Rattus norvegicus: one gene and its partners. The protein of the gene in region 1 interacts with the protein of each later gene in a biochemical or structural test. Links are inferred from orthologs where the notes say so. Each region holds a gene or a part of one and is shown in the gene's direction. Other genes may lie near its edges.

Region 1 (4,186 bases):
AACACCCCAAGTGTGCCTCAGCAGTCTGAGGCAGAAGGATAGCCTTGAATCTGAGGCCAGTCTCTCCGCTACAGTGTCTCAAAAGTGGAGCCTGTCTGGGAGTGTAGTTCAGTTAGTAAGGTCCTAGCACGTCCTGGGTCCCCTCCCCAGCACTTCATACATTGAGGATGGCGATGAATTTGTAATCCCAGCACTGAGGTACCGCAGGCAGAGGAGCAGGAGTTCAAAGTAATCTCCACCGTTTAGCATGTTCAAGGCCAGCCTGGGATCCAGGAAATTCTGTCTCAACCATAAACCTAAGGTTAGGTGTGGTCTCGCATTCTTTTAATCCCAGTATCTAGGAGGCAGAGGCAGGTGGAGTGAGTTCAAGGCCAGCCTGGTCTACATAGTGAGTTCCAGAACAGACAGGACTACACAGGGAGACTCTGTCTTAAAAAACAACAACAAAAAACCAAACCAAATAAATAAATAAAAAATCCAAACCTAACAAACAAAATCCTGGCTCTACTGCAGATACAGGAAATAGAAATCTGTTAGAATTCTCGACTCCGGTGTAGCTGTCATGGGAAAGCTAAAATGCAGGGCTGTTTATTAAAGCTGGCCTTGGGCCCAGGAGCTCCATTTCCTAACAGGCTTCTGGTGAGGTAGCTGCAAACTACGGTCCTTTGCTTAAGGCTTCTGCCTCCTGCCTAGTCTTCCGAGCCCAGCCTGCCGAGGCATGAGCAATTTTCTTACTTGTAGTCCATCTTTGAGCTGAACGGAACTGTCAAGGTCATTGGGTGTAGATGCAAGGTGGACTTGGACTTGGGAGAAATGAGGCCAAGCCATGAGGGTAGGAAAAGACAGCTAGCAAGGTGATAGAGAAACCTGTTCCACAGGAATGCGAGTGTGCAGCGGGGTACAACAGTGGGGGAAGCTGAGAGACTGGCAACACAGTGTGGTTTCAAAGGCCCAACGGGACTAGGCTTGGGAGGGAGAGAGGCTTAGGTAGGTAGTTCTGGACCTTTGCTGCTCCAAGGTAGGACCATGGCCTGCGGCAGCTGTGGTATAAATGGGGCTTTTTAAGTAGGAGGTCTTCCAAGCAGCCTGTGATGCTGAACATGGTATACTAAAGCAGAAAGAAGAGGCCCAAGAGGGAAGAGGAGGAGAGGGGGTGGCACGATGCAGGGAGTGTGGGAGGGAAGGGCCTCGGGGATGCACAGGGAATGTATCAGGCAATGGCATCCGCTCATCTCTTGTCAGTTTGCTTGTCTCCGGCTATGACAAAGGGTGTGCGGTGCAGAGGCCTGTCTGTCAGGGAGCCGTGACTGCTGAGTGTGACAAACACTTCAGAGCAGGTGGCTCCTTTTAAACAAAAGGCTCTTGTGTCTCTCTTCAGGTGACATGGACAGATGTAAAGAAAACTGTGTCTCTAGGCCTGTCAAGGTAAGTAGAATTCCCTGCATTCACAATTGCATTTTAAAAAGTTATTTATTTTATGAAAATGAGTATCTTCGTGCACACCAGAAGAGGGCATCGCATCACAGGTGGTTGTGAGTTGCCGTGTTGTGGCTGGGAATTGAACCTAGAACCTCTGGAAGAGTAGCCAGGACTCTTAATGGCTGAGCCATCTTTCCAGCCCCTACAATTGTACTTTTTTTTTTTTTCTTTGTTTCTTTTTTTTGGAGCTGGGGACCGAACCCAGGGCCTTGCGCTTCCTAGGTAAGCGCTCTACCACTGAGCTAAATCCCCAGCCCCACAATTGTACTTTTTAAGTGATGTGTACTTTGTTTGTGTGCACCCATGCATATGCCACTGTGGAGGTCAGAGAGCAAGGCTGGAGGGGGTCTCTGTCCTGTGGGTCTGGGCTCTACCACAGGTCCTTGGGCTTGGCTGTAAGACCTTAGTCACTGAGCAAAGCCGGACCGCTCCTGAGCATGTTGTTCTGACAATCGCGTTCTTCCCGCTGTGGCTTTGGGTGGGAACTGGAGGGCTCTTCTTGACCGTGCCTGGAGGCTTCCTGAGCCTCTGTTTCTGTGGGAGATGCCTTTGCCCTGGAACCTCATGTCCTCTGAGCTCATGGTGAATCCTGAGGCTCTCATTTAAGGAGGAGGAAGTCTCAGTTTCTCTGAGTGTGATGAGCGTGGACCTTAAGAGTTGAGACTGACAGAGTCTTCACAGGTAATCCAGTGGGGTAGTGATTGCTTCTCTAGGTGCCTACACTTGCTTCTTCTTTGTCCTTGTTTTCTATGGAAAACTCAATAGATTCTATGCATTTTAGTTTTGGAGATTACTTCCTAAAATATTTCTGTTGGGTGAGGCTCAGTGGGCACACCTTTAATCCAACATTTTAGGAGAGAGCAGCGAGCAGACTGAGATAGTGCCAGGCGTGAGTCTGGGACTGGTCAGTATTACACAGTGAGACTTTGTCAAATACGTACTCTGAAAGGGAAACCCAGGGAGTTTAACGAACTGTGATGATGGTCATAAGCCACGGAAACCCAGCACAACCTTACATTTAGACTGTTCTGCAAAATCGCTTGAGGGCGATCAGTCGCCAGTTCCATCCTTTTTCCTAAGCATAAAATCACCGCACGATTTGATAGGAAGTTTCATCACAGTGGAGGCGTTTGCCTCAGAACTCAGTGCTCCTCCTGCCTCAGCCTCAAGCACGATTTGATAGGAAGTTTCATCACAGTGGAGGCGTTTGCCTCAGAACTCAGTGCTCCTCCTGCCTCAGCCTCAAGCACGATTTGATAGGAAGTTTCATCACAGTGGAGGCGTTTGCCTCAGAACTCAGTGCCCCTCCTGCCTCAGCCTCAAGCACGATTTGATAGGAAGTTTCATCACAGTGGAGGCGTTTGCCTCAGAACTCAGTGCTCCTCCTGCCTCAGCCTCAAGTACTGGGTTACAGGTTGCCAGCTCCCCGGCCTCTGGGCTTACAGGTGTTTGGGGTTTCCATCGATTTACCGGAGCTTATTCCCGCGTGAGGTTAAGGAAGCAGGGCTTGAGTCGGCCAAGCCCTCCCTAGGGCACACGCACATTAACGTAGCTTCAGCCTCCTCCCTTTTACTTTATTTATTAAAGAGAGTTATTTATATATTTATGTCTGGTGTGGGTGAGTGTTTGCGTGCATGCGTGTGCCTGGGACTTGAGGAAGCCAGAAGAGGGGGTCAGGTCTCCTGGATCTGGAGTAACAGATGGTTGTGAGTCACCATGTGGGTGCTGGGAACCAATCCAGAGCCTCTGAGAGGGCAGTCAGTACTGCTACCTGTTCAGTCACCCCCGCCCCCCATTTCCATGTATTACTGAGTTTTGTTAGACTGCAAAGGAAACTTGGTTCTCGTTACCATCAGCCTTTCCTGAAGGCCACTTTCCCTGTCTTCTCTCCATCTCAGTCCACTGTTCCCTTCGGTCCGAAACGAGTCTTGGTGACTGAGCAGATTCCTTCTCAGCACCCAGGATCAGCGAGCAGTGGCCAGGCCCAGCGGGTCCTGTGTCCCTCCAACTCCCAGCGTGTCCCTCCACAAGCACAGAAACCTGTCGCAGGTCAGAAGCCAGTGCTCAAGCAGTTGCCGGCTGCCAGCGGTCCTCGACCTGCTTCCCGGCTGAGTAACCCCCAGAAGAGTGAGCAGCCACAGCCTGCGGCCTCGGGTAAGTGGGGTTGTCACTGCACTGGATGATCAAATGCATAGATTGGCGTTTATCCTTGATGTCCTGGTCTCTCTACCATGTTTGTTGAGGAGGAGGAAAAGAATGAGATGGGTGTCCGTGCATGCTCAAGTATAATGGTGTGTCTGGGCTCCTCCAGTGCTGGGAATGCAGGTGCCATTGCTGGGTCCCCAGGGCCTGGGAGGGAGGCTGAACTCAGATGGCACTGCCTGGAACTGTGCCCAGCATGGAGAGGAGAGTCAGAGGGGCCTTCCTGACAGGAGAGGAGAGTCAGAGGGACCTTCCTAAAAGGAGAGGAGAGTCAGAGGGACCTTCCTAAAAGGAGAGGAGAGTCAGAGGGACCTTCCTGACAGGAGAGGAGAGTCAGAGGGGCCTTCCTAAAAGGAGAGGAGAGTCAGAGGGGCCTTCCTAAAAGGAGAGGAGAGTCAGAGGGACCTTCCTGACAGGAGAGGAGAGTCAGAGGGGCCTTCCTAAAAGGAGAGAGTCAGAGGGGCCTTCCTGACACAGCTGGCAGAGCAGGTCAGAGTTGGCCAGG
Region 2 (4,031 bases), on another chromosome or scaffold:
CACTCTGCAGAACTATAGCACAGTACAAGCAGAAAATAATAAACCAGGCCTGGGTCGGCTGGGGTCCCCAGGAAAATCTCTTTCACTAGTTCTGCTTTGCGAGCACTACATTCTAGGCAGTTTTGACACATATGCGATGTTCTTCTGAATCTTAGTCTGTGAAGGGCTTTCTGTGTGATGCTCTGGCTTCCGGGCCTTCCAGCTTCCTGCTTTCGAAACGCTATGGTGTCCACCTCCTCAGGGAGATTGTCACCGAGAGGTCACATCTGTTGGCTTCAGGAGCCTGAACTTGCCAGTTTCCTTTCTGTCGCCTACAACTCTCGGTGGCAAGAGGACTTTGTCCAGGTTCTTGTGGAAATAACTTATGGATATAATAAATCAAGACAGATCCTTCCTTCCACAAGGACTACGCATGGATCCTGCAAAGATGTTGCCTCGGGGCCCATAGCTCCCTCCACCTCTAGCCTGGATTTGAGATCCTGTTTGACTACTTGGTTTTAGGAAGCATAGGGAAGGGGAGAGCACTGAGATTTTGTTAGCACCTTTTTTAGTGAGGGTAGCATGTAGAGGAGGCTTGGGAGACAAAGGCAGGATGGGGACCCACCCACCAACCTTGATGGCAGAAGGACCACCAATTCCAATGACATTCTGCTTTGTGCGGCTGTCACAGAGGGTTAACTGCACCCTCTGAAGTTTATACACGGGGCAAGGCACCTATGAGAACGAGGCTTCTAGAAAAGGTGGAACGTCCAGAGCGCTCAATGCTCTATAGGGTCCACTGCTCTTCCGGGCCCTTTCCCATGACTTTCAAAGGGTTCTCTAGAGCTGGGAAAACCAGGGTGACCTGCAGGTGACAGAGGTACCCAAACCTCCACTTAAGGTCAATCAAGCTGGGGTCTTCACTCTTCAGAAACGTTGTGGGTCCTGTGCCAAGCGCCAGGTGCTAGGTGCCTCTGAGAGGAAACGGAGGTGGTGGGCAAGGGACCGCTGGTGAGCCGAGGCGACCTCTGGGTGCAGGACGATCACGCCGAGCCAGGGCGTTCCCAAATTCAAATCTCTCTGGCGGGGGCTCGCACCCGCCGACTCTCTGCGGCTACCCGCTCCTCCCTCGGCTGCGGCGGGAGGAGGAGCCGCGCCCTGGCCGGCGTCCCCTTGACTCCTCCCTGCGCGGCCAGGCTCTTCCTCCCCCGCGGCCCGATCTCCGGGTGGCAGCGGCTGAGCCGGGAGCGAGCGCGCTGGGCGCGGCCGTCCCGTGCCGCCGGGCCAAGCCTGAGAGTCCCGCGGTCATGGTCTGTGCGGTGGCGCGGGGCGCCTAAACCCCAGGACGCGGTAAGCTACAAGCTGGGGAGCCACGGGGGTCACGCGGCCTGGGAGAGCGAAGAGGCCTCGGCTGCCAATGCGCCGTCTACGAGGCACCCCGAGCGCCCTGAGCGGCGCAAGCCCGCAGATCCCGGTCCAGCACGCGGTGGCGGCCCCGGAGGGGCTCTGTCGCCAGCGGGTGGCGGCGGCGGGGGGGGAGGGGCGACGGCGGGGGCGGAGGATGCGCCGGCGCGCTTTTGTAAGTGCTGGCCCCTTACATATGGAAATGACGCCGGCGCGGGTCCCTAGTCGCGTCCTCTGGAAGGACGCGTGCCCGGATCGGCGGCGCGGGCTGCTCGGTGTCGCGGCGCTCGCGGGGCCCTAACAAAGCGCCCTTTCCTTGCAGAGCTCCGGAGGCGGCCGGCGTGGGCGCTCCCCAGAGGCCGAAGGAAGGTAGGCGAGGTCGGCGGGGCCGGACCACGGGTCTGGCGAGTGAGCTCTGCGACCCGCGGGTGGACAGGTGGAGTGGGGACGCCGCTCGGGTTGCTAGGAACCTGGGCTGGCCCGCCCTCCCGCCACACCTCCGCCTCCCAGACCTGAGGCGCCCGGAGCTGAAAGCTGCTACTGTGCCTCGCTCTAGCCGCGGGCAGGAGCCGGAGCTAGCAGAAAGGGTTCTTGTTCTGTGGGTCGAGGCCACCCAGGCAGCCCCGAGATCCAGAAGCTGAAGGGGAAGCCTGCGTGGGAAGCCCCTGGGTGCGGATCTGAACCTCTTGGGAGCGCAGAGCTGCTTGGAGTCCTAAAAGTGGAGATTTTAGAAGGTGCGTAGGATCCGTGCAGGTAGAGACTTCTGGGTGCAGCTAGCAGGAAAGGGTGGCAATACATCTTGACAGTTGCTCTGGAAAAAAACTGCGATCTCCAGAGCAGAGGAGTGTGGAATGAAGTGAGGAGAGAGTGTAGGTGGGAGAGAAGTATCCAAGACTCAGGTCTGAACTGCAGTACCACCCCCACTTCCCCTAAAAAGACAACGCTGATGGAAACCAGCCTCCGCTTAGAGCTCTGTGAATTCGAGAGAGATTGGAAAGGATGATGCTCCTAGCCTCAGCCCTGAAGGCGCAAACGAAAGGGGAGCTGGAATCGTGCACTGCCACGGATCGTATCTCCAGACAACTTTATTATGACACGGTCTCATCGTCCCTTACCTGGGACAGACCCTTTCCTGGCGTTACAACTCAACCAAAACAGACTGTGGTTGTGTACATGACTGCCACGGTAGCTCACAGGGTGCTCATCCCAATTAATCTCATAGCACCTGAGCTAGGCTCTTGGGACCATGAACTATTTCTCAGTTGGGCTCGCTCTCATTTATCATCTTGGCATAAATTTAAGTATTTGCATGCTCCCCAAGGCTTAACGAACCCCCAAGGAAATACTTTCCTGGTGCCGATGTAGCTTATTCTAGGGTCTTCTGTTATGGTGAGCGCTGGCTATTAGAGGCTGACCTGGAATATTAGTATGTCTTGCTGTGGAATTGAAAGAAGTTGTGAAACACTCATCAGTAATATCACGGACTGGCTGGAAGAGGAGTTCGTGCCGTCTCTTCGGCTGTGGTTGGTGTTCATAGGGAGGTGATCTGGGCAGGAGGTATTGGCAACCTGCCTACTTTCAAGGCTCTCTGATGTTTTAGAGGGAAGCATTCTGAGCTGTGGTGTTGAGAAAGCAAATGGATTGCCAACGTACAGATGCTGGGGCAAGGAAGAGGAAGCCACCCTCTATGTGGCCCTCTTGTTGAAATGTCATGATCCAGCCATTTTAATGGGTGCTCGCTGAGAATGTCACAAGTTCTTTCTTTCTTATTCCCCTTTCATTTTAGATATGTAGTGGCCCTTCATATCAGAAGATGTTAACTCACAGGACAAGGCTAGGGCTCCACAGAATCCTGAACAGCCAATCTTAATTTAATAGTCAGTGTTCTTATCATGAGTCAAATGTTGTTCACATAAATTGTTTTAAATGTCACTGTAAATGACTTTCCAAACTAACATTTTACCAGTCTTGAGGCTTCCATTTTGGGTTGATAATGAAAATACATTTTATAAGTCTTACCCTGATAGAGGCTTGACAGTTACATCGCAGAGCGATTCAGACAGTCCAAGCCTTTTAGATAGCTACTTTTATAAATGCCAGCTCATTTGTAAGCCAATAAATAATGCAGTTTGAATTCTGGCTATTGATCTCACATCTATTGGCCAAAGTCTTGTGGGGCAGGCTCACTGAACCTCACAATGAAAGATACATTTATCTGATTGTATTTACAAGTAAGATCATTTAAAACGTTATGGAATTATGAGAAACATCATTAGAAATTAGCTCACTTCTTTACTGCCATTTGTATAAGCAATTAGACACATGACTCCACATGGGGAGTGCTCCAAGTGTCGATATCCTGATAGCTCAACACAGTTGGGGAAATATCATCTGTAGATGTGAGAACAGACGTTTTCCACTCAGACCCTAGGAGCTCACATCAGCCATCCTAAATTAATTTATGTAAATACAGCTCAAGAAATGAAAGTTGTTTCAGGCTTTCTTTCTCCCTTTCTTCCTTCCTTCCTTCCTTCCTTCCTTCCTTCCTCCCTTCCTTCCTTCCTTCCTTTCTTGCTTTCTTTCTTAAGTAGCAAACACAAAAATCTGTTTTGTTTTTCGTTTTGTGTATGGCTCCTGTAGTTTTGTAA
Region 3 (3,511 bases), on another chromosome or scaffold:
GTGAACATAGAAATTAAAAGGAATTTTGGGCCTAAGGGTAAATTCTAAAGTCCTGTACACATAGATATAGTAGCTATGATTACAGCCTGTGAAGAGATCACCCAGAGGAAAGCAAGACTGAAATAGTTGCCAAACCTCCAGTTTTGTGGGGAGGAGAGTTCAGAGAATAAGAAAAAGCAGTGGTGGGCTGGAGAGATGGCTCAGTGGTTAAGAGCACTGACTGCTCTTCCAGAGGTCCTGAGTTCAAATCCCAGCAACCACATGGTGGCTCACAGCCATCTGTGATGAGCCCTCTTCTGGTGTGTCTGAAGACAGCAACAGTGTACTCATATAAATAAAATAAATCTTTAAAAAAGAAAAAGAAAAAGCAGTGGTGTGGAAGCTAAATTAGAATGTCTAAAGAGGAAAAGAGATAGACAAAGGCCGTGAAAGATGAGAGCCAGAGTCCATCGGATCTGTCAGTTAGTCAGGTGAAGTGTGTGGATGGGGCAGTGGCATAGAGAGCGGAATAGAGTCAGATTGCATTGAGTTAAAAGGGAGCAGAAGAGTAAGGGATGTGAGATTGCTAGACATGGTGGCATGTGCCTGTAATCCCAGCATTTGGGAGATAGATGCAGGAGGATCAGAATTACAAGGCCAACCTCCATACATAGCTAATTCAGTATCAGTCTACAATACATAAGATTCTCTCTCAAAAAGAAACAAAATGGGGCATGGTGTTACATGCCTTTAATCCCAGCACTCCAGAGGCAGAGGCAGGCCAGTCTTTTAAAAGAGTTCCAGGCCAGCCTGGTCTACCTAAGGAGTTCAGAATGTCAGGGCTACACAGTAAAACCCTGTCTCAAAACCAGCCAGCCAGCCAACCAACCACCCACCCACCCACCCAACCAACCAACCACCCAACCAACCACCCACCCACCCACCCAACCAACCAACCACCCAACCAACCAACCACCCAACCAACCACCCACCCAACCACCCAACCAACCACCCACCCAACCAACCACCCACCCACCCAACCAACCACCCACCCAACCAACCAACCACCCAACCAACCACCCACCCACCCACCCAACCAACCAACCACCCAACCACCCACCCAACCAACCAACCACCCAACCAACCACCCACCCAACCACCCAACCAACCAACCACCCAACCAACCACCCACCCACCCAACCAACCACCCAACCAACCAACCACCCAACCAACCACCCACCCAACCACCCACCCAACCAACCAACCACCCAACCAACCAACCACCCAACCAACCAACCACCCAACCACCCACCCAACCAACCAACCACCCAACCAACCACCCACCCAACCACCCAACCAACCAACCACCCAACCAACCACCCACCCACCCAACCAACCACCCAACCAACCAACCACCCAACCAACCACCCACCCAACCACCCACCCAACCAACCAACCACCCACCCAACCACCCACCCAACCAACCAACCACCCAACCACCCACCCACCCAACCAACCAACCACCCAACCAACCACCCAACCAACCAACCAACCACCCAACCAACCAACCAACCACCCAACCAACCAACCAACCACCCAACCAACCAACCAACCACCCAACCAACCAACCAACCACCCAACCTATTTTATGGGTCTTGACTCTGAAAAAAAGAAGAAATGTGATTTAGTACAAGTGTAAAGCAAGTGCTAAGGGAATGGAGAGTGGCTGTAACTAGGAGTCTGGATGGGTATTGCCTTTCAGAACCTAGCCTCTGCTTACATGTGCCTTCATTACTGCACGGTCTCTTGTACAGTCAGGACTGGTGTATACGGAAGATGAGTGGCAGAAAGAATGGAATGAACTGATCAAACTTGCCTCAAGTGAACCCAGAATGCATCTAGGTACCAACGGAGCCAGTGGTGGAGGGTAAGTGTGTCTCGGAGCCAGTGGTGGTGTGAGGGAGCAGGGATCATCTAAGGACTCAGTTCTTTCTTTCCTTCCTTCTGTCTATTCTATGAATCCCAGAGATTGAACTTAGGTCTTCAGGAGTGGGGGCAAGCACCTTTACCCATGTCACCAGCGCCTACTCTCAGATTTGTAACCGTGTCAGCCCCATACCCTTGTCCTGGGTCTCCCTACGAGTGACGTGGAAGCACCGACCATGTAGCACACAGTGATTTGATGTGGAAACTTTGGGTTAGAAAACTAGGGCGGGGCACTCTTTCCATCACTTTGGACCTGGTCTCAGGACTCATTTTGTTTCTTCCTTCTCCCTTATGTTGTGCCTCCTCCATTCTCTCTCCTACAACTGTAGAGTGGAGAGTTCAGAAGAGCCGGTATATGAGAGCCTAGAGGAATTCCATGTCTTCGTCCTTGCTCATGTTCTCAAGAGGCCCATAGTGGTCGTGGCAGACACCATGCTGAGGGACTCTGGAGGGGAAGGTGAGTTAGCTACTCATCTGCATTCTCCTCACAGACCAGGATCCTGTGTGTGGAGCCTTGTGGGGAGCTCCACATTAAAACAGTGGAAGCTTCTCAGGAGATTCAAACAAAAGCTCTTGGGATTAATTGGGATGGGATGTGCCATTGAAACTGGGATTAAAGGACTGGAGAAGTGGCTGCACGAGTTTGGACTACTCTTGCAGGGGACCCAGGTTTAGTTCGAGCACCTACACTGGGCAGCTCACAGCTGGCTATAATTCTATCTCCAAGGGATGTGACATTCACACAGACACCCATGAACACCCATGATTTAAAATAATAAAATAAATCTTAGAGAAGTAGGATGAAGAGACTGAAGTAGGCAAGGGCCTCCCCTTGGTAGTAATGACCTTTGTGGTTTCCTACAGCATTTGCCCCTATCCCGTTTGGAGGGATCTATCTGCCATTGGAGGTCCCAGCCAGCCAGTGTCACCGATCCCCTCTGGTGCTCGCCTATGACCAGGCCCACTTCTCTGCACTTGTGTCGATGGAGCAGAAGGACAGCGCCAAGGAACAAGGTGCCCGGCCCAGTGTGTCTGTGGCTGGCTTTTATTCAGAAGTGGAAATGATGGCTAAAGGGGAGGAAGTGACTGAGTAATATGGAAGGCCAGATGGTGCCAGTCTTTATTTTTGTTTTTTAACCATGCTATATAATATTACCAAGAGTTTTTAACTTTAAAAAGTGTGTCTGTCACCGCTGTTGCAAAGGTTGTTTTAGGTACAGGCTGCACTTATTTCTGTGGTTCACCAGCAGGGAGACCAGGGGATTAATACGCTAACTTGTATCCTGGGTGGTAAGAAAGAGAGTAGCTCATTGGTGTTTAATGCAATCCACTTCTCAGTGTTGCGGATAGATGGACTATAGTTAGTCATAGACCCACATGGGTTCGGTGATGTCAGTGTGTGTTCATTTGCCTTCTCCCTTCTCAGAAGACTTTCTGACAGAATGTTTTCTCTCCCCAGCTGTGATCCCACTCACAGATTCAGAGCATAAGCTGCTGCCCCTGCACTTTGCTGTGGACCCAGGAAAGGGCTGGGAGTGGGGCAAAG
Region 4 (4,308 bases), on another chromosome or scaffold:
TCACTGAGTCATCTCCCCTGCCCTGAGGAATTCCTTAACAAGCATAGCTCATGTAAAGATTTAAGGCATAAGTATGAGGTACACAAGCATGCTGACGCTTGTTCCTTTACTCAGATATTGTCTCTTGGGGACATAGCACTTAGGGATTAAAAGGAAAGTTGTCTCCAATAAGTGAACTAGAAAAATCAACCTATCAATTTTCCATTAAGATTAAGAGAATTGGAAAATATTTTGTCCACAAGAATAAACACTTAAGGATGCAAAAGTCACATGTACTTCTGCAAAATTTACCTCTCTAACTGCCCAGTGACCTCAATATAAGCACTGTTAGGAATGCAAACCATTTCACCATTTCACCATTTCACCACTCTTGGTGACTAGTAGGTTCAGGCAATGTTTTCGTATTTATTGAATAAGCTCACAAAAAAAGGGGGTTTTGAACTATGCAGTAAAAGTTTACATTAAAAATTGTTTTTAATTTGTAACTCCTGCTTACAGTTATAAAGGTTTGCCTTCTACCTACAAGTTGCTATGTCTCAAAGGTGAAATTTTAGCACATGGCTAAAATGAACTATAGTTACAGCTTCATGATTCAGAGTGAGATCATAGGCAACAGAAGGCAGTGTCATACTCTGTGATGGGAAGTCTAGGGGGCATCATGAGCATCTCGAATTTAGACTGTGGTTACTCTGAATATCACAGAATTTGTCTCTTAGCTCTTACTTGATTAGAAGGAGCCTTCTTCAGGAAAGGTTTTAAGAACGGTGAGCTTGGCTCGTTAGACATGTGATCACCAGCTTACAAGGAGTGGGGCAGAAATTTCACCAGCTTTTTGTGGAAAAGATTCCAACTCGGTACTGTGCCATCACTACACACAAATGTGCTTTTTTTTTCCTCCCTGGAGTTTCAAATTCTCACAACCAACCAAAACCAAATCAAACCAGCCATCAGGGCACCAAAAGAATACTACTGGGAATAAGCAGCTTAACCTGTAACTTGCATATAAACACTCTGAAGCAAGCTTTGCCTGGTACGTCTGAACACTTAAAAATATGCTTACTAATAACAACTAGACTAGAGTGCATTAACCCCTGGAAATAAATTTTAAAAAGCAGTCCCTTAACACAAAAGAACACGAAACGACAATCAAAAGATGTCCACAACCAGAGAAACAATTGGCAGGCTGTTTCAGTCAGAGCTGAGGACACTTGAACCACTCCAAAAGCCCTCTGCACCAGATGGCTTCACAAACTGTCTAGAGCTGGCTCCGGACCCCACCAACCGGCTTTCTGCACCACCTTCGTGCCAGGGGCTCCCTCCCGCATAGCTCCGCCCCCTTCCGCTCAACTCTGCCTAGCTTGGTGGAGCTAGCGTCAGAGTGTCAAAGTCTGCTAATTTGCATGACCCAATGACCTGGCTGCATGTAAATGAGGCTAGCCGTGGTTGGCTGAGGGCTAGCCCCATATCTCCGGATCGGACCCTTTGTCCTCCAGTGGCCCCGAGGCAGCTGTGCAGTGTTCCCCAGCGAGGCTAAGCAAGAAGCCGGCGAGAGCAGAGACGCGAGGGTGGGAGCCAGCGCAGAGCCGGCGCCGGGCACTGTGGGGGCCAGGAGCAGCCCGCGCGCCGCGTGAGGGACTCGCACTTGCAATATGACTTTGGAGGAATTCTCGGCCGCAGAGCAGAAGATCGAAAGGTAAGTGTGCCTGCGGACTCGGTGGCCGCCACCCCTACGGCTTCGCGGCCCGGAACCCTACTGACCCGCTCTCGCCCTGCGATCTGCAGGATGGACACGGTGGGCGATGCCCTGGAGGAAGTGCTCAGCAAGGCTCGGAGTCAGCGCACCATAACTGTCGGCGTGTACGAGGCAGCCAAGCTGCTCAACGTGTAAGTGGCCCCGGCCACCCGCGCCCCCCGCCTCCCGCTTACCCACCCGCTTCTACCCCGCGCTCCCCGGAGCTTGTACACTCACCGTTGCCCACTGTCTGTAGAGACCCGGACAACGTGGTCCTGTGCCTGCTGGCTGCGGATGAAGATGACGACCGGGACGTGGCTCTGCAGATCCATTTCACCCTCATTCGTGCTTTCTGTTGCGAGAACGACATCAACATCCTGCGGGTCAGCAACCCGGGTCGGCTGGCAGAGCTGTTGCTACTGGAGAACGACAAGAGCCCCGCTGAGAGCGGGGGCGCTGCGCAGACCCCGGACTTACACTGTGTGCTGGTGACGGTAAGAGACCAGGGGCTGCAGCTCAGAATCTGCTGGGGTGGACCTTGTCCGAGCTGGACGCTGATCTCGCGGGGGTTCTGATACTGTGAGGAGCGTGTCTAAGCTCATGGGTGGCCTCCAGCGGCGGATGATATCAGTGAGTCAGCAGGCTACCCAGCTACCCCTGCCTACCTCTGCACTAGCTCGTGTGACTAATTCTTTGAGCAGAACAGATTAGATAAAGCCACATTAAGTTCCCGGTTCACCCTTCGTTAAGAAGTCAGCTTCATTCTTCATTTGCTGTCAAAGCTAAAGATAGAAGTCGTGTAGGAGACAGACCTTATTAACTCCCTGGATATAGATACTCTGTGAAGTGTACGGAGTGGAATTCTTTTCTTTGCTGCTCTTGAGTTTGTTTAAACGAGCCCTCTCCACCCTCCTCCCCACCGCTTAAAAATGTGTGGTGGGTGGATAGTGTTTTCAGAAAGAAATGTGCTGCTGTCTCGGTCTTCTGGTTTTTTGTTTTTGTACTCTTTTGACTTGTGTAGGGAAGTGGTAGCCTGATTATTTGTGCTGCCAGTGAAAAGTGCTATTCATTGTCAGGAAAGATAAAAGAGTTCAGCTGCCCTCCCTGCAGCTCTCACGGTGCACACAGCCTGAGAATGTTTTTCAGAAGTATTTTACTTATGACTCCACCAGGGTACGTGCTTGGAAGGGCAGTCTTGAGAATGATAACTTCATGAAGAGTGGGGTAGTTAATATGCAAAACTGTGTGGCTCAGTGTGCATTACAGGTGTTTAGACTTGGCCAAACGCTGTTTGGCAGAATGTTTGGGGTTTGGCCCTTTCAAAAGTAGTACAGCTAGTAGCATACGCTGATCATATTATGGGGAAGTAATTTTTCTAAATCTGTTCTCAGAACCCACATTCATCACAATGGAAGGATCCTGCCTTAAGTCAACTTATTTGTTTTTGCCGGGAAAGTCGCTACATGGATCAGTGGGTGCCAGTGATTAATCTCCCCGAACGGTGATTCCCCGAACGGTGATGGCATCTGAATGGAAATAACTGAACCAAATTGCACTGAAGTTTTGAAATACCTTTGTAGTTACTCAAGCAGTCACTCCCCACGCTGATGCAAGGATTACAGAAACTGATGTCAAGGGGCTGAGTTCAACTACAGGAGGGCTAGGAGATGACTTTGCAGAAGGAGAGAGAGGTGAGACTGAAGGAGGAAGCTGTGTGGAAACAGAAATCCAAGTCAAAAGGGACAAAAAAACTACAAAGAACTGTGCAAGAAAGAAAACTATTAATTTAGGATGGCCGGGTTACAGTAAAGTAAACCAAATATTGCTTTGTTGAAACTTTAAATGTGTAGCAATATTTTGGGTATTTTTTTTGGTCTTCATGCCCTCAAATAAAAGAAAAGTGAAAAGGGTTAATCATATTTTCAAGCCACAGTTTAATGTATTTTGATGAGATGTTAAATTCTCAGAAGTTTTATTATAAATCGTACTAAGTTATTTTATGATGTGAAAGGTTATTTATGATAAAACGTTTTTGAAGCACATTATCTAAAATAAACTGGTATGGAATAACTGTGTCGTTTCTCAATGTGTGGTATGTGTTTTCCAACATGGACTCTTATCAGACTTTGTATTGAAACTTTGCTTTAAAGCCACCAGGCAGAAAGATGGGTGATGGTAGAGGGTTTGGGTAAGGGCAAAGGGAATATGGAGAAAGAGTCACCTTGCAAAGTCTGAATTACAATGAATTATTAAAATGCTATAATTAATTGCATGCAAAACATAGAAGCAGAGAGGAGGGTTACCAAAGCTGCTTGAAGATAAGTGAAGCTTTTACTGAGGGGAAAAAAATCATCTTATTGGAGGCTTAAGAAATGAGCTTAGTTTCTCTAGGTAGAGACAGGGAAAGGGTATTGCTAACAGCTACAAAAGTTTGTGCAATGGTGCAGGCATGAAAGATCAGAGCCCGCAGAGAGACCTGCAAGGGTGACGCTGCGTGCCTCTGGTGTAGGGAGATAAGTGAGAGAGAGGGTTGGAAAGGTGGGGGTTCGACTCAGATGCTGACAGGAGTTCTTACA
Region 5 (3,565 bases), on another chromosome or scaffold:
TTGAATCCCTTCCCCACTGTCAAACCAACAGCCTTTGCAGATGTGATTGGTGCCCTCTGGCACCCTGACTCCTGTGAAGCTGTGAATCCTACCCGATTCCGGGCTGTCTTCCAGAAATACGTCCCTTCCTTCTCTGGATACAGGTGGGAACTGAGTGAATAGGATTTCTCTCTGGCTGTGTCTGGGGTTGGGCCAAACAGAGGCTCTAGCAGCCATGTTCTGAGCCTTGAGGTTTCCTACAGAGGAAACAGGGACCCAGATTGGGCAGGGGATACTTGTGGACCACAAATAGATCACTTGTCCATATTCTGTCTGGCTATAGCCAGCAGGATGCCCAAGAGTTCCTGAAGCTCCTTATGGAGCGGTTGCACCTCGAAATCAACCGACGAGGCCGCCGGGCACCACCAATTCTGGCCAGTGGTCCAGTTCCCTCCCCACCTCGCCGAGGAGGGGCTCTGCATGAAGAACCTGAACTGAGGTAAGGTTTGTTCCCCTTTGTTCCTCTTTTCAGTAGTTCAGTCAGCATTCAGTCTTCACAGAGCTGAGCCAACCGAAACTGGACATGTAGGGCCCAGGGGAGACCCTTTAGCACAGGAAAAAAAAGGAAGGAAGGGAAAAAGGGGGAAGCTGAGAAGTACAGATATAGGCAAACAGAAAATAGTGTCAGGGATGCCATTAAACTGGGGAAAGAGAGGCTTCTACAATCAAATATATCAAAAGCTTGTAGAGGAAGATGACTCTATCTATCTATCTATCTATCTATCTATCTATCTATCTATCTATCTCCTTTTCCCTTTCATCTTGGATTTCCCTGGAAAGTTCCCAGAAGCATTTCTTACTCCTTTGACTAGAAATTTAGGGAAGGCGCTGGTATGTGAATAGGGAACAGGGTTCTGTGGGTAATTTCAGTGGTTTAGGGGTGCCCAGTATTAACACGGCTGTCTCACAATTTGTCCCCATCCCCTTAATCTGTGGTAGTGATGATGACCGAGCCAACTTAATGTGGAAGCGCTACCTGGAGCGAGAAGACAGCAAGATTGTGGGTATGCAGTGGCACACACTGGGAGTTTAGGCTTGGGAGGAGGAAGCATGGGGCCAGGCCAGATGCTGGGGCTGTGAAACGGTGTACAGCTGAGTGGCATGCTGTAGTTAGAAAGGCAGATCAGAGGCACCGGGAGAGGTGGGGTTCTAGGAAAGCACGTCAGGCCTCCATCCCATAGTGACTTTTTCTCCTGCCTTTGTGCTTCTGCCTAGACCTGTTTGTGGGCCAGCTGAAAAGTTGCCTCAAGTGCCAGGCCTGTGGGTATCGCTCCACGACCTTCGAGGTTTTTTGTGACCTGTCCCTGCCCATCCCCAAGGTGGGATTCCAGTAGATTCCAGGGGTGGATGGAACATGGGTTCTGTGACCCACCCCTCCCCACCCCTAAGTGTGGGTGGGAACTGTGTGGGTCTCTAAAGCAGAATTAAAGCCTGGATTTAAAAAAAGATTAAAAAAAAAAAAAAAAGGAAACTCAGAACATGCTGACCCTCACTTCCCCTTTCCCACTAGAAAGGATTTGCTGGGGGCAAAGTGTCTTTGCGGGATTGCTTCAGCCTTTTCACCAAGGAGGAGGAGCTAGAGTCGGAGAATGCCCCAGTATGTGGGACTTCAGCGGGAGGGTCTGCCTGGGTGAAAGGAGATGCATGCCTCCTTAACTTGGGAAGAACAGCTGTATGTCTGGGTGAATGTTGGGGCTCTCGGGTATGTCCTAGTGTGTGCCTAGGTTAAAGGGGGAGGGGCAAAGCAATGAGACACCTATTAAACTTATGTGTGAGTTGGGGTGTCAGAAAAAACCACCTAGGTGAGAACACTGATCTAACACTATTTGCTGTTTATGTAGGTATGTGACCGATGTCGGCAGAAAACACGAAGTACCAAAAAGTTGACAGTACAAAGATTCCCCCGAATCCTCGTGCTCCATATCCTACTTTTCAAGTTCTTATTTCTCTTAGGGTATCTCCCATACAGTGTTTCCTCACCTTCAGTGAGTTTCCCGTAGGGAAAACCTGCCACCCCAACTTTCTCTGCCACTTTTCAGGACGTGTTGGGGGAATGGAGGGTACCGAATCTATTTCCGCAGTCTCCCTTTTAGAGACCCTTAGCCTCCCCAATGCTCCTTAACCAGGGCTTAGATCTGAACCGATTTTCCACCTCCCGAGGCTCCATCAAGAAAAGTTCAGTAGGTGTAGACTTCCCACTGCAGCGACTAAGCCTAGGGGACTTTGCCAGCGACAAAGTGGGTGAGTCTGGCAGGGAACGTCCTAAGGAGTCTTCAGGAGGGAGACACAACTCCCAGTTGCAGAAACTGATGTTATCTAACCTGCAGGAAGCCCTGTCTACCAGCTGTATGCCCTTTGCAACCACTCGGGTAGTGTCCACTATGGCCACTACACAGCCCTGTGCCGGTGCCAGACTGGTTGGCATGTCTACAATGACTCCCGGTGAGAACAGCCTCTTATTCAACTCCTGCCCCACCCCACTGCAGCCCTGGCACCACCCCCTCCTGTGAGGTCTGAAAAGATAAGTTCCTGACCATGGATAGGTGGGGGGGGGAGGTCTCTCCTGATCGCCACCTGGCTACGCTACACTGCGTCTTTAGGACAGAGGGGGAATCTTCTGGAATGACCACAGCCATTTCCCATCTCTCTTCTCAGTGTCTCCCCTGTCAGTGAAAACCAGGTGGCATCCAGTGAGGGCTACGTGCTGTTCTACCAATTGATGCAGGAACCACCTCGGTGCCTGTGACGCCATCTTGAAGCCCTGGCACCTGTGAAAACCTTCTCAACACCCTTAAGCCCCCAGGCTCCCCACTTACCTCACAGACGTCTATTTTTGTGTCTTTTTAATCGGGGAGGGGAGGAGGGTTGGTTGTAGCTCCCGTTATTTTTTTTATTAAGAAGTACCCTTCCACCTTGTTTTCCTGTCCCATGTACAGAAATTACCAGGCCCTTGACCATGTACAGCCCCCAGAACCTCTGCAATCTCACTTTTTTGTGAATAAATTTATTAAGAAAAAGTAAATGTAGGAAGCGCAAGGCCCTGGGTTCGGTCCCCAGCTCCGGAAAAAAAAAAAAAAGAACCAAAAAAAAAAAAAAAAAAAAAAAAAAAAAGAAAAAGTAAATGTTCATGTTTGTATTTGTGGGTAGAGGGAATGGATATCTAGAACTTTGGTTCTGTTGGAGCCTTTCTGGGACCCAATTCTGTCTCTGAACAGGTGGGGGCGCTCTCACAACAGAAGGAAAAGAACAGGGATTGAGCTGGCTCCAGACTTGGACCCAAACACTGACAGTTTAGTGGTACTAGGAAGACAAACCTTGAGACCTGTGAAGTTGCGGGAAAGCCTGGAACTAGAGTGCAGGCATTGGCATACCAGGTTTTGCCTGTGAAGGGGACTGCCCCTAGGGGGCAAAGCACCCAAGAACCCCTGTTGACAAACATGATTTCGTTGCTGGGCGGCCCTTGCTCCCGTAGGCCCTGTCTGTTGCTAACATCAAGGAGCTGTTTATGGAGCCTTCTCCCCACGGA

Evidence for each region.
Region 2: of the proteins of Aurka (region 1) and Nin, one has a biochemical effect on the other in vitro, tested with the Homo sapiens proteins (2 studies listed by BioGRID). The link is inferred for Rattus norvegicus from reciprocal best matches to the Homo sapiens genes AURKA and NIN.
Region 3: of the proteins of Aurka (region 1) and Otud7b, one has a biochemical effect on the other in vitro, tested with the Homo sapiens proteins (2 studies listed by BioGRID, with this or other methods). The link is inferred for Rattus norvegicus from reciprocal best matches to the Homo sapiens genes AURKA and OTUD7B.
Region 4: the proteins of Aurka (region 1) and Gadd45a form a complex in vitro, tested with the Homo sapiens proteins (2 studies listed by BioGRID). The link is inferred for Rattus norvegicus from reciprocal best matches to the Homo sapiens genes AURKA and GADD45A.
Region 5: the proteins of Aurka (region 1) and Usp21 form a complex in vitro, tested with the Homo sapiens proteins (2 studies listed by BioGRID, with this or other methods). The link is inferred for Rattus norvegicus from reciprocal best matches to the Homo sapiens genes AURKA and USP21.

Annotation. Positions count from the first base shown.
Region 1 is NC_086021.1:181,557,962-181,562,147, reverse strand, and holds the start of Aurka (aurora kinase A), read left to right. Parts: upstream 1-1,378; 5' UTR 1,379-1,383; coding exon 1,384-1,425; intron 1,426-3,377; coding exon 3,378-3,633; intron 3,634-4,186. UniProt on the Homo sapiens protein: Mitotic serine/threonine kinase that contributes to the regulation of cell cycle progression.
Region 2 is NC_086024.1:94,360,800-94,364,830, reverse strand, and holds the start of Nin (ninein), read left to right. Parts: upstream 1-1,220; 5' UTR 1,221-1,329; intron 1,330-1,705; 5' UTR 1,706-1,752; exon of another isoform or gene 1,753-2,117; intron 2,118-4,031. UniProt on the Homo sapiens protein: Centrosomal protein required in the positioning and anchorage of the microtubule minus-end in epithelial cells. May also act as a centrosome maturation factor.
Region 3 is NC_086020.1:186,399,338-186,402,848, forward strand, and holds part of Otud7b (OTU domain-containing protein 7B), read left to right. Parts: intron 1-1,793; coding exon 1,794-1,906; intron 1,907-2,294; coding exon 2,295-2,422; intron 2,423-2,829; coding exon 2,830-2,979; intron 2,980-3,424; coding exon 3,425-3,511. UniProt on the Homo sapiens protein: Negative regulator of the non-canonical NF-kappa-B pathway that acts by mediating deubiquitination of TRAF3, an inhibitor of the NF-kappa-B pathway, thereby acting as a negative regulator of B-cell responses.
Region 4 is NC_086022.1:97,483,991-97,488,298, reverse strand, and holds Gadd45a (growth arrest and DNA damage-inducible protein GADD45 alpha), read left to right. Parts: upstream 1-1,499; 5' UTR 1,500-1,649; coding exon 1,650-1,693; intron 1,694-1,782; coding exon 1,783-1,884; intron 1,885-1,969; exon of another isoform or gene 1,970-1,988; coding exon 1,989-2,226; intron 2,227-3,123; coding exon 3,124-3,237; 3' UTR 3,238-3,802; downstream 3,803-4,308. UniProt on the Homo sapiens protein: In T-cells, functions as a regulator of p38 MAPKs by inhibiting p88 phosphorylation and activity.
Region 5 is NC_086031.1:86,234,618-86,238,182, reverse strand, and holds the end of Usp21 (ubiquitin carboxyl-terminal hydrolase 21), read left to right. Parts: intron 1-31; coding exon 32-143; intron 144-322; coding exon 323-478; intron 479-978; coding exon 979-1,043; intron 1,044-1,254; coding exon 1,255-1,358; intron 1,359-1,549; coding exon 1,550-1,636; intron 1,637-1,880; coding exon 1,881-1,959; exon of another isoform or gene 1,960-2,165; coding exon of another isoform or gene 2,166-2,172; coding exon 2,173-2,280; intron 2,281-2,366; coding exon 2,367-2,481; intron 2,482-2,694; coding exon 2,695-2,785; 3' UTR 2,786-3,056; downstream 3,057-3,565. UniProt on the Homo sapiens protein: Deubiquitinates histone H2A, a specific tag for epigenetic transcriptional repression, thereby acting as a coactivator.